Kluyveromyces lactis: one gene and its partners. The protein of the gene in region 1 purifies or fractionates together with the protein of each later gene. This does not show direct contact. Links are inferred from orthologs where the notes say so. Each region holds a gene or a part of one and is shown in the gene's direction. Other genes may lie near its edges. The genes, in order: NPL3, STO1, RPS2, XRN1, CAF20, YRA1 and MUD1.

Region 1 (3,635 bases):
CACCTTTGAAACCTATATCGCTGTTTGGATCATCAACCTTAGTGTGTTCAAGCCTCCAACCTTCTTGTAGGAAATCTTGCTGATTCAACAATGGATTTAGAGTTGCATCAAGGTAAACGTCTCTTAGATTAGCAAAATCCGTCTCATTAGTGGTAGCAAACGGGTAAAAAGTATAGTCATGACCAGTCATAGCGTTCATGAAGTTTGCCAACGATCTGTTTAACATCTTGAAGAACGGATCGCGAACAGGATACTTATGAGAACCGCAAAGAGTTGTGTGTTCCAAAATATGTGGCACACCAGTTGAATCCGGGGGATTGGTTTTGAATCCGATACTGAACACGTTGTTGTTATCATCTCTATCAATATGTAAATGTTGTGAACCGGTTTGGTTATGCAATAAATCCACGGCTGTTAGCTTTAGTTCAGGGACAGGAAGTAATCGTTTCACTTCATATCCGTGAAAAACGCCACCTACTGGGTACTTCCTCAGCGCCCGAGACTGTGCATATTTTGTGGCATAGTTACGAATTTGAAACATGGTATTTTATAATGCAAGAATTCTCCACCTGGATTTAGATTCAATATTCCTTCGCTTATATTTCAAACCCAGTTTTTTCGATCTTGGTATATTAATCAATGATTACTGTCGTCAACGATTCTATAACGATTTATTGCGAATAAATAGATAAAAGAAATGCAAAGAGAAAACGAACGGTCAAAATATCGGAAATATCCCCTCTAAACTGCTAGTTCGCTTGGCTTTTCGTTTCTTGCCTCTGAGATAAATTCGCTAAATTGACTTATCAATATGTTAAGAGACCTTTGGCATGCTCTAGTATCTTTCCTCCAGGATTCCATACTATCGAAGAAAAACAGCTATGAACTACGGTCTCACTTCTGACGAGTTAAAAAAATGAAAAACTGAAGTTCAAGTCACGTGATACATGTGTCACTCTTACCTTTCTGTATAACAATGGTAAATACAAGTAGCAATGAGAGCATTTGATCAATATAGCCTCTCAGATCGTATTTGGTAGGAGTATGACTTGTATGAGGGCTTATATCTGTGCATGCGATACTTATCAGCACTCATTCTAAAAAGACTTGTACCGAGGATTCCAGAGTTTTACCCTACCTACCAAACCTTGTTTGACACTATTCTCTTCTGTCTTTTCTTTTCCCGATGTTCATTTAAAATTTTCACTTTCTCCTATATATAAAGACATATTTAAAACCTGGTTTTTGGAAAAAAAATTCTACTCCATCATCGTTGAGTGGCGTTGCAGTATTGTTTTTGACTAAGATATTAGTGTTTCACTTCTTTTGCTCAAGGTACAACCAAGAACACTTACTCGCGAAATATCAAGATGTCTGACGTTCCTCCTCCTCCAGCTGTCGAAGAAGAAACCTATGAAAAGCCATATGAAAAGCCATATGAAAAGCCATATGAAACTGCTCCACCACCTCAAAGTTATGAAAATTTCAATAATAGAGTTGATGACGATGAAGAGCTTTCTGATACCAGACTATTTGTGAAGCCTTTCCCTCCAGATGTCACTGATGCTGAAATGAAGGAAATTTTCGAACCTTTCGGTGCTTTGAAGGAAATAAAGATTTTAAATGGGTTCGCTTTTGTTGAGTTTGAAGAAGCTGAGTCTGCTTCCCAAGCTATTCAAAACGTTGCCGGTAAAATGTTTGCCGACTACCCATTGGAAGTTGTATTTTCCAAGAAGTTAAAGCCAAGATTCAGAGTCATTATCAGAAACTTGCCAGAAGGCTGTGCTTGGCAAGAATTGAAGGATTTGGCCAGAGATAACCAGTTAGAAACTACTTTCTCCAGTGTCAACACCAGAGACTTTGACGGTACTGGTGCTCTTGAATTCCCAACCGAAGAGATCCTGCAGGAAGCCATTGAAAAGTTGAACAACATCGAATTCCGTGGTTCAGTTTTGGCTGTTGAAAAAGATGAAAACCCACCACCAATCAGATCCTCTCGTGGTCGTGGTGGTTTTAGAGGCCGTGGCGGTTTCGGTCGCGGTGGCTTTGGTGGCCGTGGTGGTTTCGGCGGTCGCGGTGGTTTCGGCGGCCGTGGAGGCTTCGGTGGTCCAAGAGGTGGCTTTGGTGGCCGTGGCGGTTTCGGCGGTCGCGGTGGCTTTGGCGGTCCAAGAGGTGGCTTTGGCGGTCGCGGTGGCTTCGGTGGTCCAAGAGGCGGTTTCCGTGGTGGCCGTGGTGGCTACGGTGGTCCAAGAGGCGGTTACGGTGACTTTGGTGGTCGTGGCGGTGGTTACGGTGGCCGTGGCGGTTACGGTAACAGAGACTACGCACCAAGAGAAGACTACCAAAGAGGCAGCGGAGAAGGCTACCAAGCGCGTGAAAGATCTCCAGTTAGAGATTAGAGGATTTCTGGAGTGCACAAATAGCTTTCATCTAAGAATGTTGTGAAATTACTTCAAGCATCAAACCGTGTGTCCCTACCATTATCATCGGAGTTGGTATTAGCTTTCTTTTGTCACTTTTAACAGAATTATTATGCTTACTATCTTAGGGAGTTATAAGCTCTTGTTTTCGCCCGTTGTTTTCATACTTTGTCGTTACACCAAGAAACCTCTGAACTTTACTTGGAATTTGAATTTACTCACAATTGTTGGGAATGAATTGAAGGTATCAACCTTGATGGATTGAGAATAAAAAAAAAAATTAAATATTAGTATAGGAAAAACCTCCCATCATCAGGAAAAAATCTTTTTACTTGTGGATCCGAACAGAACATCAAGGATCGTGAGGAGAAGGAAAAAATGATTATGTTTTTATAGTGGATTATTATTGTATTGTTTTATTATTTATCTTTGCGACTAGAAAAGAGGTCTTCCAGAGTAAGGAAGAAGTAGTGATGATCATGGAAATCAATTTCGCGAGGGAAATTGGTTGTGTTTTGTAACTGTGCTTGAAAATCAACCTTAACTCCAGCTCAGAATTGTTACAAATGGCACATATATGTCAGCGTCAAAGACTGCGCTTTTAAACGAATCAACAACTTATTGTTTCTTGCATCCGATCAGTGGATTTTGTCTTAGTCCATTTTCCAATTTGTGATTCTTAATCTTGCATTGCCGACATTACAGTGCATCAACCACCATTATTTTGTGTCTCTTCAAGAAAATGGTAATGTAGAATTGTCTTGAACTTGTAGGAGGCCTACGAAGGCCTTGACGTTATCCTGATGTGTACGAATTTGATTCTTTACAAACTGGGCGGTTTGTCGGATCAAACTTGTACCCACCTTAAACAAATCTTATTGATAAAACTGTTGTTATGCTCTAACATCGACTCCTAGTCACTTGACTATTTAATTTTATATCGTTATGTTGAATGACCAGCGTCATCACTCTCATCCTCTCCTTCGGAGCTGTCATCATTGTCCAATGATTCTATCAAGAGACTCCCGTTTGGCCATAGTTCTGACCTTGTTTTCAATTGAATGGATGGATCATTTGGAGTTTGTTTTCTAGGGAAAGGCGAAACCAACTCAAAGTCAAAGCTAATATCCTCTAGTTCGGTCTTAGATCTGAGTTCGGAAATACCCTTTTCTAATATTGCTTTTAGTTGATTTTCCGTCTTGGATTCCAATAGTT
Region 2 (5,070 bases), on another chromosome or scaffold:
AGTGGGAATAGTAATACTAACGAAGTACTACAATCAAAACATGATTCCTATATCGCATGTTCTGGTGAAAAAGGCTTGAAGAAATCAGGCAGCAGTTTCCAGAAAGCGAAGAACTTTTTGATGAAGATCAAAAGGACGAAGAGTGGCGATCAAAGACCGCTCACTACTGTACCTTCGTCCGCTAGAAGCAGCAGGAGTTCGATGGCAGTAGATGAAGGATCCGAAATCCAGTTAAATGATACTTTCAGGGCGAAATCGGGTGCATCCAGCGATAAACGTAGAATATCATATCATTCTCTTTTTTCCGCGTCATCTGCTGGTAATCACCACGACCAATATAGTAATAAGGAAAAGACATTTGACAGATCAACTTTGCAAATTCGTAAGTCGATGATTATTGGTGAAAGCACAGAGATACAGGAAGTGCCTTGTCTTGAGAAAGAATATGTAAAACAGAAGGCTGAACCTATTTCCGCGTTGCCATATAAGCCATCTTTTGCTTCTGAAAAGGATCCCAAACAACCCCTGTTGATCACTGAAGAGTATTTGAATATTTTGAAACAAAATATGATGTTGATGCAAGAGCTACAATTGGTTTCCACGGAATTAGCCGAGTCTATCGCAAGGGAAGGTAGATTAGAAAGTGAATTAGAATCAAAGAATCCGAAGGAACCAGAGTCACCTCAGGCTCTTTCTCTACTGGATTTCGAAACGGAATTAAGGAAAAAATCGTCAAAGATTGTTGAGTTGATTCAAAATTTGAACGAAGAAAGGCTCAAACGTTTCATTGCAGAAGAACAGAATTTATTATACCAACATGGTATAAAGCCATCTCCTAACGAACTCGCCCTTCAAATAAATGAGCTGAAGACGCAACTGCAGTCCAAAGATCTACTGATAGAACAGTTGCAGAAGCAAGTACATGATTCTTGAAGCAAAATGAAAAGAATCCATGTATGGTTCGTTCCGATTTTGAAGGTCTCGTTATTTCTGCGATTTCTTTTCCAGTCAAGCATATACCTATATAATTTGGGAAATATACATATATATGTTAAAAAACGTTGAAAACACATTGTTATCTAATTATGGTAATCTACAGGCTGTGAAACCCTGACATTCGTAAGCTTTAACAATTTCAACTATGTACCTGTTGGCCTAAGTATCGAATGGCATTGATTGTCTGGTCGTCTCCATAACAAGAATTCAAAATGAAAATTGAAAAAAAATTAAAATATATGAAAACACGAATTCATAACGTTACAATCAAGATTTTGCCAACTGATATCAGTATTATATCCAACAATACGCCATCAAGTACCCGAGAGATGTCAAAAAGAGGTTTTGGTATGTTTAATTTATGTCACCATTCAAGACGTTAGAGTTTTGCATTGTTTTTTGAAGGTTCTATCCATCTCTGACGTATTGTTATATCAGATTTAAGTTTTCCCTTAGTACAACTGACAGCGACGTCAGCAAAGAGAGACAGATGACAGACGGTTCCAAGATTGCCACAAAACACACATCTAGACTAGAGAGACATCCCATCGACAATCGGTATAAATACTTCAAGTTTTCGGTATGATTTACTCTGAATAATATCGAAGAAGTTTCGTTAAAAGTAGTCGGTTGGTTGACACTTTGGTTTAGAACTCAGAGAGAAAGCAATAGTATCAGATATATATCTGAGACTTACATTAACGTTTTCCAAGGAAAAGCATATAATTACTAACAACTGTTTCTGAAACACAATGATTCTTGTAGATTATGAAGAAGAGAGTGGTTATCGTGAAGCGAGGCCACATTTTGCCAAAAGGCAAAGGCTGCCACCCGTTGTCATGCTTTGTAAGGACATGATGCCTGATATCAGGACCATGGGTGAATCGGCCAAGGCTTTTCCAGAAGATATCAAGTTCCTAAGTGAGGCCATTGTTCATGAATTCGGTAATGACGAGTATTTCAACAACGCACTTTTGAAAACTTTCAGAGCAGTTATCTTGGAACAACCTCATAAGCAACCAGGTATTGCTCTTTTAACCATGGTGCTAAATTCAGCTAAACCAGAAATTGGTAAAAGTATTTTGAATTATTTCTTTGACCAAATTCAAGAGTTACTTAATTCAAGTCATGACCCCGACTACCAAACCAAATCTCATGATATTGGACCATGGGATAAAATTAAGTTAGTACTCAGATTTATCTCCATTCTATCGCCAATGGTGGTACCAGATGATTTGCTTGACTTGTACAAGAAATTATTGCAGTTTACCGTCGATTTAAACAATTCCACGGAGAAAAGATCCCCACTTTCTGAAGCCATCTATACCAACACCTTGTTGAACGTTCCATATTTGTTCTACTTCAACTCGGATAATCGTGAATCGTTAAAAACTTTAGTTGAGGAGTTACTCACTTTTGTCGAAAACGAATATAACATTAAAGATACTGATATTCAATTGCTCAAAGCATACAATAAGAACCCACCATATGAACCAGTTCATTGGGTTACTGCTGTCTTGCCAAATGTCAAGAACGCATTGGCAAACGATATGCAACAACTAGGCGAGCTTTTCCTGAATTATGACACCTTATTGACCCAACAAATAGCAATTCATTCTTTTAATGAGCCGTTGAATCTACCAACTTTAGAACAAATTATTCCATTTTCAGGTTTAGACAAAGGCTTCGGTTCAGTCGATAGTCTATGGAAAACTCCAAGATATTCATTCGAGGTTTACTTACCGAACAGTGTGGGTCCATTTTCTACCGTGATACCAACTACCACCTTCACAGGTATGTTATTTCAAGATATTCTTCTTGATATAATCGAAAGTATGGAGTTCAATAGACTTGAAGTTGCGAGACAATTAGTAACGATTGATCTTTTCTTCACTGCGGGTATTTTCACTGAACCGGGCCTTCCTGTCGCCCAACTCTTGGAACAATTTGAAGAAAACCCAGCAAGAAGTACTTTCAAAATCGAAGATTTAGCCGTTGGTGCCATCTTAGAATTAACTTTTAAATTACCTACTGTTTCTCAATCTTTTGCCTATTTCTATTCTCTTTTGGTAGAAATTTGCAAGAACTCGCCAAAAGCTATTGCTCCTGTTTTCGGTAGAGCTTTCAGATATTTCTATAACAATTTGGATAAACTAGACTTCGAGTTAAAAGCTAGGTTCCTAGATTGGTTCTCAATTCAAATGAGTAACTTCAATTTCTCATGGAAATGGAATGAGTGGGAAGTTGATTCCATTCAGTGGAATAGAACTATTTACAATCCAAGAATGATATTCATTAAGAATTTGATCAGAAAGGAATTAAGATTAACGTCCAATTCTGCTGATGTTGAAGAAAGTGTTACTGATGAATTCCAAAAATTCATGGATCCATCTTTCATCAAGAGAGAAGATCTTGTTAACTATTACTCCTCTCTTTTCAAAGATTTCCAATTGGATGAAGGCGATCTTCGTAACAATGAGCTATATTTCAGATCTCCATCTTTCCCATTCCATGAAAACGTAACTCAACTTTTGGATTTCTTCCACAAGCAACCTGACACCAGATCTGTTGCAGAGTTGGAGGGTATTCTCAAGGACATTGCTGTAAACCATGGGTCAATTATTGAAGATTTCAATAGATTTACTGTGACTCTTCTGATTCAAACCATTGTTTTCTGTGGTAGTAGATCTCTCTCCCATGCAAACAAATATATTGATGATTCGAGAGAAGAGTTGAAAGCAATTATGGCACAGGTAGAGGTGTCGCCGCAAATTAAAGATCAATGGATTTGTGAGGCGGTTGTCAGATACTGGAATAGTAACTCTCAAACTGGTTACTTGATTTTGGACTCTTTGAGATATAATGGTCTAATTTCAAATGAATCAGTTTTAAACTTTTCTTTGACCGAACAGTGTGGAGTAAACATGAGTCTCGTCGACTCTACTTCTATTGAGTCTATTTTCAGAATTTTGAATGAGCTGGCTATGGCTGCTGACAAAGATGTTGGTTCTTTTGAGTATGTCTTCAACAGGTTGGTGGGTGCTGCTAACGAGGTATTGTCGCAATTGAACACTATTGATCCAATTGTTGTTCCAGATCTTGATCAAGACATTCAGGCAACAGACGAAGAGTTACCATCATTAGACCTTGCGTGGAAATACGAAGCAATTATGGGTTTCTTAAAGAGTGTGCTCAGAAAATACTCGGATGAGTTTAGCGTTCTGACGGAAAAGTTCATCAATGATGTATTACAAGGCGTGCCACATGAACCCACCAAGCAACAATTGAACAGATGGATTTCGGAAGTTTCAGAATTATGAGCGTGAACCAGAACTACTTGCCAGCTTATATCCAGGTATATTGATTTCGAATTGACATCAAAGTTCTCGATACGATGGGTTGTTTGCTAATGATACCCTCCTAGTCATGTTCTCTTTTTTGATGCCTTTCTGCATCGTTGTGTATTATATAAGATAAGAGTCGTTGTTGTTTATAATTATTAAGTCCAAAAGCTTTAATTAATAAGTTACAGAAACTGTCCGGTATTTTAATCATCTATGTATGACGGTATTGTAAGTGTCTACTCTAGTGAGCATGTCATGATATCTTTGTTGGTCTTCCACAGATTCTGGTGGTTCTGCAGACTCATCTATATCGTAACTGAAGTTACTGGAGCGAGAGCCCACATGTGATGCAGGGGTTGTATTATGCATGAAGGCGTCAGACGGGTAAGGTCGTAAATATGGAGTTGAGAATTCGGAGTCCGTTCTAGATCTGGCATCAGTGTCATAATCTTCAGTAGGAACGTGAAGAAATTGGGATGGGACAGACTCGATTCTTGTTAAATCCAAATTATTCGATAAATCAGCGAGATATTTGTAGAGTCTTAAGAATTTTACGAAATCGTTTCGTTCAATATCTTGTCCACTAAATCGGAATTTCTCATAAAGCGAGATAAACTCATCCAAATACTGCTTATAAGGGTGTTTTTCATTCTCGAAAAGTTTATGAAGTGCTGTTTTGAAAGTTGTACTGAGATCCGATTCAGTGACAAAATTCAACAGCAAAGCCCCG
Region 3 (3,482 bases), on another chromosome or scaffold:
ACGGCATCATGGGCATCATGAGCAGCATGTGAAGCCTTATTCTTAGCGGTCTCCTTGGCTTCCTTGACGTCCTTAGCTGCCTTACGTTTTTCTTGCTGCTGGTTGTGGTGTTGAGCGTCGTGTTTTTCTGATGACATTTTTATTTTCTGTTGATACACTGATACGTTTGTTGTGAAACTGAATCCCTAAAGAGTTGATAATAGAGAGAATATAGAAAATGTTAAAGCCTTAACAAAATTGTAACGATAGTTTACCTTATTTTAATGAGCACTATTTTTTTTCGGCTTTTTCTGTCTCTTTATATTTTCGGGGTTGAATTTATAGAAAGAAAAAAGGGTAAACTGATTATGGTATTTCTGTCTAAAGGAACTATTAAAAAAAAACACCGGTATGGGCTTTGATTCTGAACTGATTTGAACCAAACTTTGAACTTTTCGATTTGGACCTGAGGTTACTAAACTAAGACAATCTTGTGGAGAAGACTCAAACAATACCCTACTAGTAGTATCGCAGTTATATAATATCGTACTTTTCAGGGATATATCGCTACTTAAATATCCGTGCTCAGAACTGATCTAGAAAACAAAAAAAAAAAAAGAAAACGGGAGATCACAATCACAATCACAATCCCAATCACGATAAAAGCTAAAAGTCGAACAATGATGAAATGTCACAGTGTGACGAAGTGTAACTATTGGTGATGTAGTGTGAGTGCTTTTATGTATTATGTATTGTAATACGGATGGAGCGGTTACAGCCGGTTCCCGCTGCGTTAGTTTGGCTTCTCTGTTCCACGTTTGAACATTTTCTTTCCAAGATGCTGAGAAGGTGTGCGGCATAAACGTCATTTACGCTGGATAGCGATAGAAGTAATCACTTTTCTGTCTCAGAAGATGAATTTGCTTCTGTCTAATAGGCCAATTGGAGTGTATTTGCTACTAACATGGCTTGATAATGTTGTTACCGTAAAATAAGGGCTGTTCTTCTGTATACTTTTCTGTGTCCTATTGACTGAATGTCCTGATTGCGGTGAAAGCAAACTGAGAAAGCAAAATGCATGCCGGACCTGGGGTAACCTAGGGTAACCAAATTATATCTCCTAGTCGGGATATAAATTTTGTGGACTGCTTTTCTCCATTAACACCCGTACATTCGGCAATTTCAATTTCCATCTTTTTTTTCAATAATGATCGCCACTTTCTTTAATAGGAAATATTGACCTTTAAACAAAACTATCTTGACACGTGATTTATAGCCTCTTTATATCCTCTTACCCTGCCAGTACAATCAAAGTTTTTCAAAGGTTTCTAGCTTCACAACCATGCAAACACGTCGGATATTTTTTTTTCACACATGAGACCTATCTATCTCATCACTAAACAAAGCTGCATCTTACCAAACGTTAAGTAATTTAATTTTATAATCTCTATTTGTTTCTCCTTCGAAGCTCCCCACGCATTGTATTTATTGTCGATTGAAAGTTACCTATCCATCAACTTTCCGTGATCCAATCCCGACAAGTCTTTATTAAGTACAATTCGATAAATCAAAGATGTCTGCTCCACAAGCTCAAGGTCAACAAGCTCCACGTAGAGGTGGTTTCGGTGGTGCCAACAGAGGTGGCAGAGGTGGTAGAAGAGGTGGTAGAAGAGACCAAGAAGAAAAGGGTTGGGTTCCAGTTACCAAGTTGGGTAGATTGGTGAAGGCCGGCAAGATCTCTTCCATCGAAGAAATCTTCTTGCACTCTTTGCCAGTCAAGGAATTCCAAATCATTGACCAATTGTTGCCAAACTTGAAGGATGAAGTTATGAACATCAAGCCTGTCCAAAAGCAAACCAGAGCTGGTCAAAGAACCAGATTCAAGGCTGTCGTCGTCGTTGGTGACTCCAACGGTCACGTCGGTTTGGGTATTAAGACCGCTAAGGAAGTTGCTGGTGCCATCAGAGCCGGTATCATCATCGCCAAGTTGTCCGTTATCCCAATCAGAAGAGGTTACTGGGGTACCAACTTGGGTCAACCTCACTCCTTGGCTACCAAGACCTCTGGTAAGTGTGGTTCCGTTTCCGTTAGATTGATTCCAGCTCCAAGAGGTTCCGGTATCGTCGCCTCCCCAGCTGTCAAGAAGTTGATGCAATTGGCTGGTGTTGAAGATGTCTACACCTCTTCTACTGGTTCCACCAGAACTTTGGAAAACACTTTGAAGGCCGCTTTCGTTGCCATCGGTAACACCTACGGTTTCTTGACTCCAAACTTGTGGGAAGTCCAAGCTTTGACTCCTTCCCCAATGGATGTCTACGCCGACTACGCCACTGCTTCCAAGAAGAAGTTGTAAATGTCATCTTTAAAATATTATAACTGTGCTGTATAGATATTTTTTTATAGCTGTCAGTATGTTTTCTCTGAAACAATAATATATTGTTGACATTTTACCAATTGTTCCTCTTCTCTTCACAAGCTACATATCATATATATTCACACTCATTATAATTGACCTTAACCCTTTAGGATCGATCATAATAAATGATCAATATACGTGACAAACTAACTAAGGGAAACTATATGACTGTCCTATACACTTCGTAGCAAGAAAAACCAGAGAAAAAGACATATGGTAAAAAAAAGAGATAGTGATAAAATCAAGGTAAAAGGGATTTCTCTTATATGACCATTAGAGTACAGGTCAAGATACGCCAATCATATTAATAGGCTTCTGGAATTTAAACACTGCCAGTCTCTTTTTTACAGTAGTCTTTCTTCCGGTTGACCTTTTTTTTTTATTACTTTACAGTATTTTTTTACCTTTTAAGACTTTTTTTTTTTTTAATAATTAATAGATATAACACTATAATAATAATTCAAATAAAACAGTTAAGGATATCACCATTAAATAGAGCGGAGTAGATTGGAATGTTAACTCATCATCATAGCATCGCCATCTACTTCTTGTCCAGCATGAACTGACTGTACGTTAGATTCTGGTACAGCAAATGGTCTCTCGTTACTCGAGGAATTTCCACTTCCAATCAGCTGCGGATTGAACCAAATACCGTTGGTGTTTTCTGTATCAGGCTTTTTTGGCTTTTCAGGCAATACCCTTTCTGGAGGATGCTGGAATAAACATCCGTATGTTCTACATTCAGCCCCGTACCTACAAGGTTCATTGATAGGGTGACCGAAGAGGCAGTCTATTCTTGTACATTGCGCACCCTCGCGGCACATGATTGACGACCTTGCGTGTCTCTTTGGACAATTTTTATTGGTACATTTTGGACCAAACTTACATTGTTCCAAAATCTTTTCTTCCAATGGGACAACCGATCTTGGCGCGAATTTTGGATTAGAAGGTTTAGAAATGACCGGTTTTGGTGCTGGCTTGTGTATGATTGGTTTTATTTCCTTAATCTTGGATAAGGAACTGTGAGCCTTGTTACAGGTCGGATCAGTGCATTGCAAGTTGTTCTCGCACCAACTGAATTGGGTAA
Region 4 (4,895 bases), on another chromosome or scaffold:
CACTAGTGTCTTGATGGCATCGATTCGTTTCAAATCTGATGATAGTGATCTTGTTGCGTTGAAATGCAATTTTTGTAGATACTTGATGTCACGAGGGATTGAATCCAATAGTTCAGTTTGATCTTGTAGATCAGCTTCAAGATGTTTGGATAAAGACACTTGCGTTCTAATGAATTGGTCCAATTGTTCGATTTCTTGACGAATTTGAATCGGAAGCTCCGATATCTTGGTCATCGGCGTGATAGCTAATTGGTTAATGAAATTAATGGCACTCTGTTGAGTCTGTTGTATCTGTTGTTGTGGTGGCTGTTGAAATTGATTTTGTGTTTGTCCAAACATTCCTAAACCAGATTGTTGGGATTGCTGTTGTTGATTTCCGAATGGGCCTCCGGTAGTTGGTTTGGATCCAAACAATCCTCCACCAGTTGCAGAGCCTCCGAAACCGGTAGTCTGTGGTTGTGCTGGTTTGGATCCAAATAATCCTCCTCCAGTTCCAGAGCTTCCAAAACCAGTGGTCTGTGGTTGTGCTGACTTATTCCCGAATAAGCCTCCGCCAGACCCGGCTCCTGAGTTACCAAATAGGCCACCTGTGGAGCCAGTGGCTGTATTATTAGAACTTCCGAAAAGTCCTCCTGCGGTTTGGTTCGTATTGTTGTTGGTGCCTGCTGGATTACTGCCAAATAATCCTCCGCCAGTCTGTGTCGCTGTATTGTTATTGTTTCCAAATAACCCTCCTCCAGTGTTACCTGATGTGGCATTGTTATTACCAAAAAGACCACCGCTAGTGCTTTGCTGGTTGCCCGTATTCCCAAATAATCCTCCTCCTGTGCTTGGTCCTACTGGAGGACCTGTAGAAGAAGAACGGCCAAACATTTCGTTTCTATCAGTAATAAGAGTATTAGATATTTACACGCCGTAAATTCAGTTAATTCAACTTACTGTTCAGTATCAATTGGTGTCTCAATTCTGCTCTCTCCATCTTTCTTTTTAACCTCATCTGTTTACTTTCTCAGTTTCCATATTCAAAATGTTTTCAACTCTTCCATCAAAGAGTATAAAACAAGAAAAAAAAGCTTGAACTTATGGATCCGGGTAACCCATAAACCTCGTCTCAAAAAATTTTGCCACCACCAAGAAAAATATTCCGATTGAACATTGGAAAGAATTACCAAATTACCTTAACGATTATGTTACTAAACAGTAGCTTTGGTTAATGTACTTTCAGGGTCTTTCATCCATATCAGGGTATATTATAACAATTCACTAAAAGTGGTTACTCATTGTTCGGCAACGTATACTACTGGTACTATCCAATCCCAGTTGTTGTTGATCTTTTCTATTGTTGGAGGAAAAAAGTCAGTAAAGCAAACCTCAGAAAGTGTTCAATTAATTACGGTTTGTGGCTTAACTAAAAATGGGTATTCCAAAATTCTTTCATTTCATCTCTGAGAGATGGCCTCAAATTTCTCAATTGATCGATGGATCACAGATTCCAGAGTTCGACAATTTGTACTTGGATATGAATTCTATTTTGCATAATTGTACGCATGGTGATGGTAGCGAGGTGAATTCAAGACTATCAGAGGAAGAAGTTTATTCCAAAATTTTCAGTTATATTGATCATCTTTTCCATACTATTAAACCAAAACAGACATTTTATATGGCAATCGATGGTGTGGCCCCAAGAGCAAAGATGAACCAACAAAGAGCTCGTAGATTCAGAACTGCCATGGATGCCGAAAAGGCTTTGCAGAAGGCCATTGAAAATGGTGACGAGTTGCCTAAGGGAGAGCCATTTGATTCCAACGCTATTACCCCAGGAACAGAATTTATGGCAAAATTAACCGAGAATTTGAAATATTTCATCCATGACAAGATCACCAACGATACCAGATGGCAGAACGTGAAGGTTATTTTCTCCGGGCATGAGGTTCCTGGTGAAGGTGAACATAAGATCATGGATTACATCAGAGCAATTAGAGCACAAGAGGATTACAATCCAAATACAAGACATTGTATCTACGGGTTAGATGCTGATTTGATCATCCTAGGTTTATCCACCCATGATCACCACTTTTGTTTATTAAGAGAAGAAGTTACTTTTGGTAAACGTTCGTCTTCTGTGAAAACTCTAGAAACACAGAACTTCTTCTTGTTGCATTTGTCTATCTTGAGAGAATATTTGGCATTAGAGTTCGAAGAAATAACAGATTCTGTGCAGTTTGAATACGACTTTGAAAGAGTATTAGATGATTTCATCTTTGTATTATTTACCATCGGTAATGATTTCTTACCAAATTTGCCCGATTTGCATTTGAAAAAAGGTGCATTCCCTGTGCTATTACAAACTTTTAAAGAAGCTCTCCAACATATGGATGGTTACATTAATGAACAAGGTAAGATAAATTTGGCAAGATTTTCCATTTGGTTGAAGTACTTGTCCGATTTTGAATACCTTAACTTTGAGAAGAAAGATATTGACGTTGAATGGTTCAATCAACAACTTGAAAATATTTCCTTGGAAGGTGAGCGTAAACGTACTAGGATGGGTAAAAAGTTGTTGATGAAACAACAAAAGAAATTGATTGGCGCCGTAAAACCATGGTTATTGAAAACCGTTCAACGGAAGGTCACTTCTGAATTACAGGATGCCGATTTCGAAATTTTCCCTCTTGAGGATAAAGAATTGGTTCGGGCCAACCTGGATTTCTTGAAGGAATTCGCATTTGATTTGGGTTTAATTCTTGCTCATTCTAAATCAAAAGATTTGTACTACTTCAAGTTGGATTTAGACTCCATCAATGTGCAAGAAACAGATGAAGAGCATGAAGCCCGTATTCACGAAACAAGACGTTCTATTAAGAAATATGAACAAGGTATTATTATTGCATCTGAAGAAGAATTAGAAGAAGAGCGTGAAATTTATAGCGAGAGATTCGTTGAGTGGAAAGATCAATACTATAAAGATAAATTAGATTTTTCCATCAATGATACTGATAGTCTAAAAGAAATGACAGAAAACTATGTCGGAGGTTTACAATGGGTTTTATACTACTATTATCGTGGATGTCCATCTTGGTCCTGGTATTACAGATATCATTACGCTCCTCGTATATCAGATGTGATCAAAGGTATAGATCAGAACATAGAATTTCACAAGGGACAGCCTTTCAAGCCCTTCCAACAATTGATGGCCGTCTTGCCTGAGAGATCAAAGAATTTGATTCCAGTTGTGTACAGACCACTCATGTATGATGAACACTCTCCTATCTTGGACTTCTATCCTAACGAAGTAGAGTTGGATCTAAATGGCAAAACAGCAGACTGGGAAGCTGTCGTCAAAATTTCATTCGTGGATCAAAAGCGTTTAGTAGAAGCAATGGCTCCTTATGATGCTAAGCTTTCTCCGGATGAAAAGAAAAGAAATTCGTTCGGAACTGATCTGATTTTCATATTCAATCCTCAGGTAGACACAGTTTACAAAACACCACTAGCGGGGTTGTTTAATGATATTGAACACAATCATTGTATCGAAAGGGAATTCATTCCAGAATCGATGGAAAACGTTAAGTTCTTATTTGGTTTGCCAAAGGGCGCTAAACTCGGAGCTAGCTCTTTGGCCGGTTTCCCATCCCTAAAGACACTACCACTAACTGCAGAGCTTGCTTATAATTCTTCTGTTGTCTTCAATTTCCCTTCTAAACAACAATCTATGGTGTTGCATATTCAGGACCTTTACAAGGAAAATGGCATCTCTCTGTCAGATCTAGCAAAAAGACATATGGGTAAGATTGTTTATTCAAGATGGCCGTTTCTAAGAGAATCTAAACTTTTGTCGTTGATTACAGAGGAAACTGTGTATGAAGGAGTTAAGTCAGGCAAATTAACAAAGGTCATTGAAAGAAAGCCTCAGGATTTTGAAAGGAAAGAATTTAGAGAGTTGAAGATGACTCTCAAATCGAATTATCAAAGGACAAAGGCCATTCTTTTGGATGACATTTCTGCTTTGGCTAAAGTGGTTCCAGTAAATGGATTGGTGAGAAACTCTGATGGTTCCTATTCTAAGTCTTTCAATGAAACTATCGAATACTATCCTTTACAATTAATCGTAGAGGACGTAAAAAATAAGGACGAAAGATATATTGAAAAAGAGCCGTTACCAATTAATAAAGAATTTCCAAAAGGTTCAAAAGTTGTGTTTTTAGGTGATTATGCGTATGGTGGGGAGGCGACCGTTGATGGTTATAATAGTGAGACTAGATTAAAACTTACAGTCAAAAAGGGTTCTCTCAGAGCAGAGCCTAACATCGGAAAAGTTAGAGCGAAATTGGATTCTCAAGCCTTGAGATTCTACCCAACACAAGTGTTTTCAAAAATAGCTCGTGTCCACCCTCTCTTCTTGTCAAAAATTACTTCAAGATATTTGGTCAATGATTCTAAAAAGAAAAGCCATAACGTCGGTTTGATGATCAAATTCAAAGCAAGAAATCAAAAAGTTCTCGGTTATGCCAGATGCAGCTCAAACAAATGGGAATACTCTGACGTCGCTCTTGGTTTGTTAGAGCAGTTCAGATCTACATTCCCTGAGTTCTTTGCGAAACTTTCTAACTCGAAGGAACAAGCAATTCCATCGATCACTGATCTCTTCCCTAACAAATCTAGCGCGGAAGCTGATTCCATTTTGAAAACAGTGGCTGATTGGCTCTCAGAAGCAAGAAAACCATTCGTGGTGGTGTCTTTGGAAAGTGATTCGCTAACCAAGGCTTCGATGGCAGCTGTTGAATCTGAAATCATAAAATACGTTTCTTTACCAGATTCAAGCGAGCAGAAGAAATTAGCTAAGGTCCCACGTGAGGCAATCTTAAATGCGGAATCGTCATATGTTCTATTGCGCT
Region 5 (3,166 bases), on another chromosome or scaffold:
TAAACTACTAGATTTAGCGAAAAGAATTCCAAACCAATGGAAAAGCATCGGAGAAATGATGGGTAGACCTGCTCAAACATGTATCGACAGATATAATATCCTCCTGGCGATTGATAAGGATGATTTAGAGCTTGCAGCAACTACAGGGGTACAGATCGGTGAGATCAACCCAAATAACGAAAGCTTACCAGCCAAGGCTGATAAAGATGAGCTACTTGACGAGGAGAGAGAAATGTTGGCGGAAGCTCGTGCCAGGCTATTAAACACTCAGGGTAAAAAGGCTACTCGTAAGATAAGAGAACGTATGCTAGAAGAAAGTAAGCGTGTTGCATTCTTACAGAAGCGTAGAGAGTTGAAACAAGCGGGCGTTGATAGTAAAATCAAAGCTCCCAGGAAGAAATATTCTTCGCAGATGGATTACAACGAGGATATTGCGTATGAACAGCAACCACTACCGGGTATATACGATACCTCAAAGGAGGATGAACAGACTGAGAAGCTACTCAAGAGTTTTGAGAAATTGGTAGAAAGGAAAGGTTTACTTGACAGGAAATCTGATGAAAAGAAAACCATACCACAAAAGAGAAGGCAAGGCGAACAAATAACGTCATCAGTAACAAAATTAGATTCTGTACTAACTGATGAGTACAAGAAACCTAAACTTGAGCTTACTCCTGCTACTTTAAAAGGATCAAAACGGAAGATAAACAAAACAACATCTATACTTCATTTATTTGAATCATTGCCTTCTCCTAAGAACGATTTTGAAATTGTATTGGATGATTTAGATGAAGAAATGGAATCCACTGATGCTTTTAATACTGAAAGTTCGTATGTTAATGGTAAATATCCCCTAGAAGCCTTAATATCTTCCACGGAACATCAATCGGAAAACAAGGCAATGGAAATAATGGAATACATACCGACAGTATTCCAAATAAAAACAGAATTACAGGTACCCAGTCCGATAGTAGATCCAAAGAATGAAATTGACCGTGAATTGAATCGTATAATCTCAGCAAAGGAGAATGGTAACCCCATTTACAATTCCACGGAAGTAAACAATTACTTAGAAGAGATCATTAATTCTGCATCCACCACCGAAGTGCCCAGCACTGTCTTACATCCCAAGTTGGAAACTAGCTTAAAAACTATAACACCGGCTACGGAGCACGAACTGCTCGGCATGGAACGAAAAGTGCATGAACTGCGAACAGCGCTTGAGGATTCCGTCAAGTCTCACAGAGAGGCTGTTTCACAACTTTCACAAGATTTTGAAGAAAAACTACATCCGACAGTGTCAGGCTTAGCATACCAATACTACACTGACTACATGAAGTACAGGAACGACCATAAGACTATGCAAGAAGAGACACAATCTCTTGCGGAACAGATCAAACTTGCCCAGCGTAGTCAATGATTACCCGGACCCTTCTTTTTGAGTCTTCCTTCCATAATCATGAAATTTTCAAATTATGAACTTAAAGATGAAAAGATTTACGAAATTGCAAACTTTAAGAACAATATGAGACAGTTAGCAATTGCTCTGTGTGGACATAACAATTCTCCCCTTTATTTCTACTGGAACTCTTTCGAAGCCATCACAAAGCAAATACTAATTCCCGGGCCACGATGATCAGGTACACAGAAGAAGAACTTTTACAATTAAGACCAACCGAACCAGTTAAACCAAACTTCGACGTTGATGAATTCAACGCTATAATTGAAAAAGTGAAAGAAATCCAAGAAGCACATGAAGAAGAATTTTCTCACTTCAGAAGAAGATCTTCTCACCACCATGCTAAACCAAAATTCAAGCATTTGAAACCAAAAATTACTACCGATGAGGAAGGATGGTCTACACTAGAAACTGCTCCAGCGGTCAGAAGAAAGTCTGTGGCTGAAGAAGAAGAACCAACCATTGTCATCGCTCAAGAAACATTGAAGGTGAAGCCAAACAAACACATTTCATCCTCAAGACCAGCTGATGCGAGGGATATCGTCGCAGACAAGCCTTCAAAGGCTTTCAATGCATTTGCTGCTCTAGAAAGTGACGAAGAAGAAGAGCAAGAATAGGGTAGACATATAAATGATAGAAACGTTTAATCTTATATCGTATTGTTATTAACGAGTCCTATATCTTTACTCTTTTGAAAGTCCGTTAATAATATATTTATTTGTTTTAATGATTCCACTTGGGAAATTAGTAGCAAGAAACACATAATAGTTGCTTAACATAATCGTTGCAAGTCTAAGTATGATTCTATATAGTTGGTAGGATGTGACTTCTAGTAATACCTTCGTTTGTACAATGCTGCATGTTTGCAGACGTGTTAACTTTTGACAGGTTTTTTTTTTCCATGGAAAGAAAGCTTTATGTAGAACTGAAAATAACTGTTAAAAGTGTTTACAGTATGGCACATTCAAAACAGGTATGAATGACGAAACTGCCTTATCATCAAAAAGGAAGGCATTGGCTATCGTTCTGTGTACCAAGGACCACTTAGCTTAGTTGAATTTTTTTTAGTGGATTTAAGATCCTCATTCACAGGAAATTCGCACTAAAAGTTGTGCCATTAATTTGATTCAAAGAATTTAGCTTGAAATTTAGTCTCAGATATCAGACCTCACAGCAAAGACATTGGCGTAATTCACGGTCATTTACTTATACCCAAGAATGGTGAAACTTTCGACACTTTTGTCCTTGGTATGGTTGCCATTTGTTATTGCTCAAGATTATTATGCAATTCTTGGAGTCGATAAGCAAGCCAGTGAGAAAGAAATCAAATCTGCTTATAGACAATTGTCCAAGAAATATCATCCTGATAAGAACCCAGGTAACGATGAAGCTCATCATCACTTCATCGAAGTCGGTGAGGCTTATGATGTTTTAAGTGACCCTGAAAAAAGACAAATCTACGATAGACATGGTGCTGATGCACTAAAGAATGGTCATCCAGGTGGTCCTGGTGGTGGCAACGGATTCCACGATCCGTTCGACTTATTCGAGCAAATGTTCGGATCTAATATGTACAATAGAGCGCGTGGTAAACCTCGTGGTCAAAACTTACAAGTGAATCACGATATTAGTTTGAAAACCTTCTATCTTGGAACGGAGTTTGAATTCACGTTGAATTTGAATGATATCTGTGATGCATGTGATGGT
Region 6 (4,628 bases), on another chromosome or scaffold:
GTCTATAAGTATTTTAATATCGTTGTTATTCGATGTCATGTAGTGATCAAGCACCATTGTTAACAATGGTTTAAATGTGTAAAAGTTTGTCATAGTAGTACCCAGTGCAATGGCTTTTATATAAGCACCGCGATCATTTGAATTATCTAAAAACGTGTTCACGACACTTAAGAAAAATAATGGTGGCTCAGTTTCCTCTAAATGCCTATCATCTCTAATTGATCCAATCTTACCACTTCGCAGTCCATTTTCTTGTTCTTCTTCAAAGTCTTCCTCTTCAATTATCAGTGAGGAATCCAAGTCAGTACCTTTAGTCTTATTTTTGGATACAGGAAACAACTGGTAAACGTTTTGATTCTTGTATAAGACAAAAACAGTGAAATCTGGTTTACCTGGATGGTTCTCCACACTATTCGGTATCATCAAACTGGCCAAATGAGAACAAGTGGAATCACTCCCAATAGTTTTAAAACCAGGGATTGTCTTTGGATATTGATGCTTTATTATCGGCCCAGATTTGTTATCAAATTCTGCCGCTATTATAAATTGAACATTGGGGTTAGAGTGTGTGTGTTCATTTTGAGATTGTCGTAGGTGAAAGTTCAATCCTGTTTTTACCTTGGAAGAGTGTTTCATAACTGGTGAACGCGCGGTCTTTCCTCTTTAATTACAGAGTCAGTCCGTTTACCACCTGACCGTCGTTCGGAGATTTAACTTGCCAGTGAGACGTCTGTATCATTTCGCTGTAAAATAGCACGATTTTGACCCATCATCGTCTTTCTTTTTGAACCGATCAAATAAAATGAACCAAATAATATCGCTAACAGTGAAATAATCATGAAATTACCCGGACTGTAAATGGATTCAATTCGGCTTCTATTCGCTTATGACAGGAAGGCATAGAAGAATGTTTGGATACTAAGCGTTGTAAGATTCCCGCCACAGCCTACTTGGGTCTATCTGCGGAAGCGATCCATTTGAACATAAGATTGATCGAATAGCTGTCTATCTTATATATCAACGGATTTTACTTTTCAGTTGTTGCGGCCTTACAATTCACGAAATAAAGCTAAACGATGTTTGTTGGAAACAAATGAGTCCCCTCGACGAAATTATGGAGCATTATCTTTAGTCTTTGAAATGACTGTTATTCACAAAAATCTTTATCATGTCAGGAATGAAGTAAGTACACCGTTACATATGCAGCAGATCTTAGAAAATGACAATCGTTACCCTCTTTTGTTGATCGTGCTGGTTTTGATTTTCTTGAAAAGAATTGGACAAAAAGTTTGATATTTGATTTTTTTTGTATAAAAGGAGCCATAGATTTTTGCCCATTGGAATTTTTTTCCCTTTTTCCATGAAAGTTGTTCTTCAAATTTCTCTTTGTTTCTACTTCATAAGGCAAGCAACTTTATAAGTTATTTCCTTCGAATCAGCTACCCATCAGATTCTTTTTTTTACACTCTCATAAGCAATGTCTGCTCTAGATCAATCATTAGATGAAATTATTGGCTCAGCCAAGCATGCCAGAAGAAACAACAAGGCCGGGCCAAAGAAGGTTTCTAAGCAAGTCAACAAGAGCCGTACCAGAACAGGTGCCGGTCCTTCTAGAGTTCCAAAGAAGGCTGCTTCTGCTGCTGCCCTAGTGCCAGCTTTGCTAAGAGCTCCTATTTCTACTAGAGTTAATGTCGAGGGTTTGCCAAGAGACATTAACCAAGACGCTGTTAAAGTATGTCCCATTTTAGCCATGGCCTCTTAGTAGGTTCTTTTCTAATGAAAAGGACTGTCGAGATGCTACTGTACTGATTGCGAAAACAAATCGGATCAAACTGCAATAAGACTTGCGGTTAATTTAAGTTTACAACGGATATATCCTGTGGAATTCCATCCTTATGTTTACTATACGATCATACATTCCCGTGTATTTGATTAAGAAGAAACGGTCGATCGATACCTTTTTTGAGGTCTGATATTGATGTGTGAATAATTTATTTCAGAGTTAGTTTTTATTGAGCTAATGAAATATAACAAAACGAAATTAGCTATCCAATTGGCTGGGTTTCGCTTTTCAGCAAGCCTTCCTTTGTGATTTCTTTCCGTTTTTCTCCTCTAAGTTGACAGAACTTTTCATCAAAATTATGCACTGAACTTCGTTTATTTACGACATTTTATTTGATGGAGAAACGGTAGTGAATCACGATTGGGAAATGCCGAAAAGATGAAGTATATCTATTTTTTCTCGTCATATCTTCTATTCTTGTGACATTATGTGTCACTGGAGTTTCTGTTACCATTTATTACATTTGGCAATGCATCTATTTTTTAATGATGCCCAGTGTATTATTCTCTTTTTTCTAACTCTTTGCAAAGAACTGGGAATTTGAAGAAGATTACTTGGTGTACACCTTGTAGGAACAATTAAGTTTGACCTCTTCCTTGGTGTGTGTTTAGCTTGATGCCTCAATCTTCAAGATAGTGCGACATTTTTAGCAAGGTCGTCGTGTTTGACAACTTCAAAAAAATTGGCAAAAATTGAAACGCCACTGAAAAGCAAGTTTCAATGAATGTAATAAATCGAGATGGGTATGCTGGATTTGAAATCGATTTTCATTTGTCATTCTGCTATGAACATGTTCTATCTTGTCTGGTTGAGATCTCATCACTGACTCCAGATTTACTCTCCAAGAAAAAAAATAGAAAAGAGAAAAGTTATAGTATACTTACTTTTTGTTGGTTGTCATGTTAGATCCTACCTTCAAATCGAAACCTAATGAAACCCATTTGTGGTATATTTTACTGTTTAAGAGTTAACTTCATATCGTGACAGAATTGACCGGGTCGTACATGTATGATGAATTGTAAACATGAATGATTTCCTACAGGACTATTCATTGAAGACTCCGCTGTTTTCAGTTATCTATGAATAGTTTCACTAACAAAAATTTTGCTCCCTTATTATTACTAGGAATTTTTCAACCATCAAGTCGGTGGTGTCCAAAAAGCTTTGTTGAGTTACAACGAAAGGGGTAACTCCACTGGTATGGCCACTATTACCTTTAAGAACGCAGAACAAGCTAACTTAGCTGTAAAGAAATTCCACAACGCACCAATTGATGGTGGTAAATCCAAATTGAGATTGACGTTGATTGTCGATCCAAGCAGAAAGACATTATTGGACAGAATCCGCCCTGTACAGAATGCTCAGGCTGCCGCGCCAAACAAGAAGGCAGCTCCAACAAAGCCTCAACCTAAGAAGAAACCAGCCGGTCCAAACAAGAAAGCCATTGCTGCTAAGCAAAAGAAAAGAGCTAAGCCAGAAAAGAAGTCTTTGGAAGACTTAGACAAGGAAATGGCTGACTATTTTGAAGAATCCAAATAAGATATTGCGTTCTTGAAATTACTGGACTGAGAAATTATAAAGTCTTCCTTAATAACGAACGGATTGTCTCTGCTTTCGAATCTATTCGTTAGACATCCTAGAAGTTCAGTTCATTTGTTGTTTGTTTTATATTCCTCAATTTCAACCGGTGTGACTGCGTGGTTTCTCAATCAAAAAAATCCGTATCTTTCTTATGTGCTCGGCCTATCTTTTCTTACCTAGCTAAACTTTATTATAATATTGATATCAATAGTTTGTATTTTATTTCACTTTCTTTAAGCACTATTTACATGAGGAATCTTTCAGTAAAGAACAGGATATATTTCTAGATTGTTTCATTTAGTCATTGCAGTGTTTGTGTGTGTTGTTAATAAATAAGTGTGATGGGTAGGTTCGTGTATTGCCTTGCAGAATTAAAATCTTGCTTATTAATCATTCGTTACTTCTTCTATCCAAGAACCCTAATCTATCACCACGCTTTCTTGTATTGTAGGATAAACCGGCCCCTTCAAATTCACTTTTCCTTTTTATTTCCGTGGTTTCTTCTTCTTTCTTCATGGGGAACCCTGGTTTCACCAGAGCAGGGTTTGCGTAATAAGAATCTGCATCTTTCTTCTCATCCCCACTCAAATTCTGCGGGTCGAACTTGGAAACTTTAGCATCACGTACAACGGTCTTGACGATAACTATAGAAGCAGTAAGACCAATACACAAATACGCAAAGTTTCTACCAATATTTTGGAATGGGTTAGACATTTTTATTGAAAAGATTGTATCTACCAAGTTTGCTCTCTGATGCTAAATGCTAGAAACCAAAAGCCAAATAAAAATAAAAACTCAAAGTTGGTATATGGTTCGTCACTCAATCCGAATAGTTCCTTCTTCCGTTCAGGATCTATTTTTTTATCAACACGCTCTATGATGCTGTTCTCAATCTGTTTTTTATTTAACTGATTCCTCTACTACTTTCGCTCAGTATCTCTGATTCCTGCTCATATTTGAATTCAAATCTTTATTTTCCTTAGATTTCTTTCGCTGAGGAAAGGTTCGCCGTAACCCATTGCGGAAATAAAGAAAGAAAGAAAAAAAATGTTGACCTCATGGTGATTTCACCTTATTCCACACACCATTATCATACAGATTGTAATAACGTTAAGCAACTACCTGTTCATTTATTTATTTGTGCCTAGATATTGACCGAGTTCGAGAAGCTGCAACCTGCAACCTGCAACCTGCAAGAGAAGAG
Region 7 (3,750 bases), about 710 kb from region 1:
ACATTATAGTTCCCTAACTGCAAGAGAAGTAACATTAAAAATGGGTAAGGAAAAGTCTCACGTTAACGTTGTCGTTATTGGTCACGTCGATTCTGGTAAGTCTACCACTACCGGTCATTTGATCTACAAGTGTGGTGGTATTGACAAGAGAACCATTGAAAAGTTCGAAAAGGAAGCCGCTGAATTGGGTAAGGGTTCTTTCAAGTACGCTTGGGTTTTGGACAAGTTAAAGGCTGAAAGAGAAAGAGGTATCACCATCGATATCGCTTTGTGGAAGTTCGAAACTCCAAAGTACCAAGTTACCGTTATCGATGCTCCAGGTCACAGAGATTTCATCAAGAACATGATTACTGGTACTTCTCAAGCTGACTGTGCTATCTTGATTATTGCTGGTGGTGTCGGTGAATTCGAAGCCGGTATCTCCAAGGATGGTCAAACCAGAGAACACGCTTTGTTGGCTTTCACCTTGGGTGTTAGACAATTGATTGTTGCTGTTAACAAGATGGATTCCGTTAAGTGGGATGAATCTCGTTTCCAAGAAATTGTCAAGGAAACCTCTAACTTCATCAAGAAGGTCGGTTACAACCCAAAGACTGTTCCATTCGTCCCAATCTCTGGTTGGAACGGTGACAACATGATTGAAGCCACCACCAATGCTTCATGGTACAAGGGTTGGGAAAAGGAAACCAAGTCCGGTGTCGTCAAGGGTAAGACCTTGTTGGAAGCTATTGACGCTATCGAACCACCATCCAGACCAACTGACAAGCCATTGAGATTGCCATTGCAAGATGTCTACAAGATTGGTGGTATCGGAACTGTGCCAGTCGGTAGAGTCGAAACCGGTGTTATCAAGCCAGGTATGATTGTTACCTTCGCCCCAGCCGGTGTTACTACTGAAGTTAAGTCCGTCGAAATGCACCACGAACAATTGGAAGAAGGTCTACCAGGTGACAACGTCGGTTTCAACGTCAAGAACGTTTCCGTTAAGGAAATCAGAAGAGGTAACGTCTGTGGTGACTCCAAGAACGATCCACCAAAGGCTGCTGCTTCTTTCAACGCCACTGTTATCGTCTTGAACCATCCAGGTCAAATCTCTGCTGGTTACTCTCCAGTTTTGGATTGTCACACTGCTCACATTGCTTGTAAGTTCGACGAATTGTTGGAAAAGAACGACAGAAGATCCGGTAAGAAGTTGGAAGACTCTCCAAAGTTCTTGAAGTCCGGTGATGCTGCTTTGGTTAAGTTCGTTCCATCTAAGCCAATGTGTGTTGAAGCCTTCTCTGACTACCCACCTCTAGGTAGATTCGCTGTCAGAGACATGAGACAAACCGTCGCTGTCGGTGTTATCAAGTCCGTTGACAAGACTGACAAGGCCGGTAAGGTCACCAAGGCCGCTGTCAAGGCTGGTAAGAAATAAGTTTAACTTGATACTACTAGATTTTTTCTCTTCATTTATAAAATTTTTGGTTATAATTGAAGCTTTAGAAGTATGAAAAAATCCTTTTTTTTCATTCTTTGCAACCAAAATAAGAAGCTTCTTTTATTCATTGAAATGATGAATATAAACCTAACAAAAGAAAAAGACTCGAATATCAAACATTAAAAAAAAATAAAAGAGGTTATCTGTTTTCCCATTTAGTTGGAGTTTGCATTTTCTAATAGATAGAACTCTCAATTAATGTGGATTTAGTTTCTCTGTTCGTTTTTTTTTGTTTTGTTCTCACTGTATTTACATTTCTATTTAGTATTTAGTTATTCATATAATCTTAACTTAACGTAACAACAACTTTCATTGTCAACAAATTTACTAATACTAATACGTATGGACTATTTGTTAATAGGTTGTGATATCCTTCTCTATTAGGTTATTACACATGCCATACAAAGCTAGTATCTATCGGCAAGCAATGGTCAGTACCTTATATCTGTCGAATCTACCGTCGAGGCCCGACTCATTGTCCAAATTCAGAGCCTTACTACTATCAAGTGTTAATTCAGATCATCGTTCTATTTCAAATGATGTTAGTACAAGATTCGATCTGAACTCGAAGAAAGAAACTAGTGAGGCTGATGCGGTTACACCAGTACTCGATGAAAAGTATCAGATCATAGAGGTATCAAGGTATGGCTCAAGACCCTTGAGGAGGTCTTGTTTCGTCACTTTTAAGGACTCAGACAGTTGTAATACGTTCCTTATAGAATTTCAAGGCAAGCTCAAGATTAATGGGAGAAAGATAAATATAAAGCTGGCGAATACGGATTCTTTCGCAGCTTTGTACTACCAGGGACAACAGAAACAGCTACAGGATGAACTTCGGTTACGTACACGTAAAGCTGTGGATAATTCACAGCCCAAGACCAAGACAAAAAACGAAGTGTTGAAAAGAAGGTTAAGAAGAGCTAGAAGTAAGCTTAGAAAGAAGGATTTGGACGAAGAAACCATACAGAAGCTTCTTTCAAAGCCCAGAAAAACAAATCCTGAAGGTACCAACAAGACTGCTATGTCACAGCAGTCGGAGAAAGTTTCCTCCACTAAAAAAGTCTTTGACATTGTCGGAAATCCCCCTCACCATGTCCTATTGGTTCAAAATCTTCCAAAAGATGTTACTCAGCAAGAATTGGAAAAGTTATTTGTCTCAGATGGATTTAAAGAGGTTAGATTGGTCAGTGTCAGAAATCTTTGCTTTGTTGAATATGATTCTACAGCAAATGCCACTAAAGTTGTTGAAACCTTAGGTCATGATCATCCATTCAAGAATGTAACGATAAAGATTGGATACGCCAAGAAATGATTCTACATTTCAATGCGAATCAATAAATTCAAAGCGTTCACAGGTCGGAACTGGAACCAACAATCTACGCTTTAATAGTACATTTATCAGCAACAGATAAACAGAATAAATAGAATAGATTGAATATAAATTATTTACAGTCAGTGTATGGAGGCCTGTACAGTACAGATACACTAGAAACGAAAAAGACAGAAATGATATATACATATATGCATACGAAGCTCTAAAACCCTGAAACCGAAATTACTTACCAAATACGACAGTTCTCATAGCTGTAAAGAAAGTTTCCTTACCCTTACCTTCGATTTCGTCATGCAATCTTTTGTAATAAATTGGGTTACCTGCTGGCTTGTATAATTTGTCCCCTACAGCATAATAATTCTTATATTTATCGCTCATTATAGCATTCAACGATCTTATCTGTTCTTGGATTTGAGTATCGTTGAAATGTTCTTCTGGTAAAGCCTCTTGAACTTTCTTTAATAGATCTTTCTTCAAACCTAATGGGCCAGAAGTTCTGTTGATAATATCCTTAATCTCTGCAAGAGAAGGCTTACTTTGCTCAGAGGCACTACCGGTTTCTATTCCGGCAACTGGACGGAACCTATCTAGTTGTGACTCTTTGAATGAAATGAGATGCTTAACACGCTCCTTAGGGAACTTCTCTAACAGCTTCACTAATTGCTTAGCACTTTCTTTTGTTGCTTGCGACATCTTTGTTTTGTATCTGTGCTAATATGGATTGTAACTCGCTAGTTTAGATAGAGTCTTTGCTGGCATGACACAACCGTATCTACCGTCAGATATGCAAACCAACTTTCTTGTCATTATATCGATTCAATCCAAAATTTTCGTTTTTTCTTGATGCTCTAAGTCAGAGGATGAAATTAAAAAAAAGAAAGATCTCAGAGGTTCAAGTAGACTTCGCTTCTAGCGACAGGTAATTTGCATGCTACCT

What was found.
Region 2: the proteins of NPL3 (region 1) and STO1 purify together in Saccharomyces cerevisiae (affinity purification with western blotting; 7 studies listed by BioGRID, with this or other methods). This does not show direct contact. The link is inferred for Kluyveromyces lactis from reciprocal best matches to the Saccharomyces cerevisiae genes NPL3 and STO1.
Region 3: the proteins of NPL3 (region 1) and RPS2 purify together in Saccharomyces cerevisiae (affinity purification with mass spectrometry; 3 studies listed by BioGRID, with this or other methods). This does not show direct contact. The link is inferred for Kluyveromyces lactis from reciprocal best matches to the Saccharomyces cerevisiae genes NPL3 and RPS2.
Region 4: the proteins of NPL3 (region 1) and XRN1 purify together in Saccharomyces cerevisiae (affinity purification with western blotting; 4 studies listed by BioGRID, with this or other methods). This does not show direct contact. The link is inferred for Kluyveromyces lactis from reciprocal best matches to the Saccharomyces cerevisiae genes NPL3 and XRN1.
Region 5: the proteins of NPL3 (region 1) and CAF20 purify together in Saccharomyces cerevisiae (affinity purification with mass spectrometry; 3 studies listed by BioGRID, with this or other methods). This does not show direct contact. The link is inferred for Kluyveromyces lactis from reciprocal best matches to the Saccharomyces cerevisiae genes NPL3 and CAF20.
Region 6: the proteins of NPL3 (region 1) and YRA1 purify together in Saccharomyces cerevisiae (affinity purification with mass spectrometry; 3 studies listed by BioGRID, with this or other methods). This does not show direct contact. The link is inferred for Kluyveromyces lactis from reciprocal best matches to the Saccharomyces cerevisiae genes NPL3 and YRA1.
Region 7: the proteins of NPL3 (region 1) and MUD1 purify together in Saccharomyces cerevisiae (affinity purification with mass spectrometry; 3 studies listed by BioGRID, with this or other methods). This does not show direct contact. The link is inferred for Kluyveromyces lactis from reciprocal best matches to the Saccharomyces cerevisiae genes NPL3 and MUD1.

Annotation. Positions count from the first base shown.
Region 1 is NC_006038.1:76,069-79,703, forward strand, and holds NPL3 (mRNA-binding protein NPL3), read left to right. Parts: upstream 1-1,370; coding exon 1,371-2,399; downstream 2,400-3,635. Other genes in the region: CYM1 (pitrilysin family metalloprotease), read right to left, coding at 1-541; UBX2 (Ubx2p), read right to left, coding at 3,364-3,635. UniProt on the Saccharomyces cerevisiae protein: Involved in mRNA processing and export. Required for efficient splicing of a large set of pre-mRNAs by efficient co-transcriptional recruitment of the splicing machinery. Remains associated with the mRNP during early steps of translation elongation.
Region 2 is NC_006042.1:1,605,702-1,610,771, reverse strand, and holds STO1 (Sto1p), read left to right. Parts: upstream 1-1,748; coding exon 1,749-4,316; downstream 4,317-5,070. Other genes in the region: KLLA0_F17545g (uncharacterized protein), read left to right, coding at 1-933; DLT1 (Dlt1p), read right to left, coding at 4,548-5,070. UniProt on the Saccharomyces cerevisiae protein: Component of the CBC complex, which binds co-transcriptionally to the 5'-cap of pre-mRNAs and is involved in maturation, export and degradation of nuclear mRNAs.
Region 3 is NC_006042.1:901,602-905,083, forward strand, and holds RPS2 (40S ribosomal protein uS5), read left to right. Parts: upstream 1-1,552; coding exon 1,553-2,332; downstream 2,333-3,482. Other genes in the region: OM14 (Om14p), read right to left, coding at 1-137; mRNA-binding protein NAB2, read right to left, coding at 2,911-3,482. UniProt on the Saccharomyces cerevisiae protein: Component of the ribosome, a large ribonucleoprotein complex responsible for the synthesis of proteins in the cell.
Region 4 is NC_006042.1:2,089,821-2,094,715, forward strand, and holds the start of XRN1 (chromatin-binding exonuclease XRN1), read left to right. Parts: upstream 1-1,414; coding exon 1,415-4,895. Other genes in the region: FG-nucleoporin NUP49, read right to left, coding at 1-873. UniProt on the Saccharomyces cerevisiae protein: Multifunctional protein that exhibits several independent functions at different levels of the cellular processes. 5'-3' exonuclease component of the nonsense-mediated mRNA decay (NMD) which is a highly conserved mRNA degradation pathway, an RNA surveillance system whose role is to identify and rid cells of mRNA with premature termination codons and thus prevents accumulation of potentially harmful truncated proteins.
Region 5 is NC_006039.1:633,605-636,770, reverse strand, and holds CAF20 (Caf20p), read left to right. Parts: upstream 1-1,632; coding exon 1,633-2,076; downstream 2,077-3,166. Other genes in the region: CEF1 (Cef1p), read left to right, coding at 1-1,420; SCJ1 (Scj1p), read left to right, coding at 2,678-3,166. UniProt on the Saccharomyces cerevisiae protein: Acts as an inhibitor of cap-dependent translation. Competes with eIF4G1/TIF4631 and EAP1 for binding to eIF4E/TIF45 and interferes with the formation of the eIF4F complex, inhibiting translation and stabilizing mRNA.
Region 6 is NC_006041.1:255,482-260,109, forward strand, and holds YRA1 (RNA-binding protein YRA1), read left to right. Parts: upstream 1-1,477; coding exon 1,478-1,732; intron 1,733-2,968; coding exon 2,969-3,382; downstream 3,383-4,628. Other genes in the region: AFI1 (Afi1p), read right to left, coding at 1-636; COI1 (Coi1p), read right to left, coding at 3,815-4,138. UniProt on the Saccharomyces cerevisiae protein: RNA-binding RNA annealing protein. May have a role in pre-mRNA metabolism. Component the TREX complex, which operates in coupling transcription elongation to mRNA export.
Region 7 is NC_006038.1:785,164-788,913, reverse strand, and holds MUD1 (Mud1p), read left to right. Parts: upstream 1-1,874; coding exon 1,875-2,792; downstream 2,793-3,750. Other genes in the region: TEF2 (translation elongation factor EF-1 alpha), read left to right, coding at 41-1,417; CBP6 (Cbp6p), read right to left, coding at 3,036-3,506. UniProt on the Saccharomyces cerevisiae protein: Involved in nuclear mRNA splicing. The principal role of the U1A is to help fold or maintain U1 RNA in an active configuration. It is the first snRNP to interact with pre-mRNA.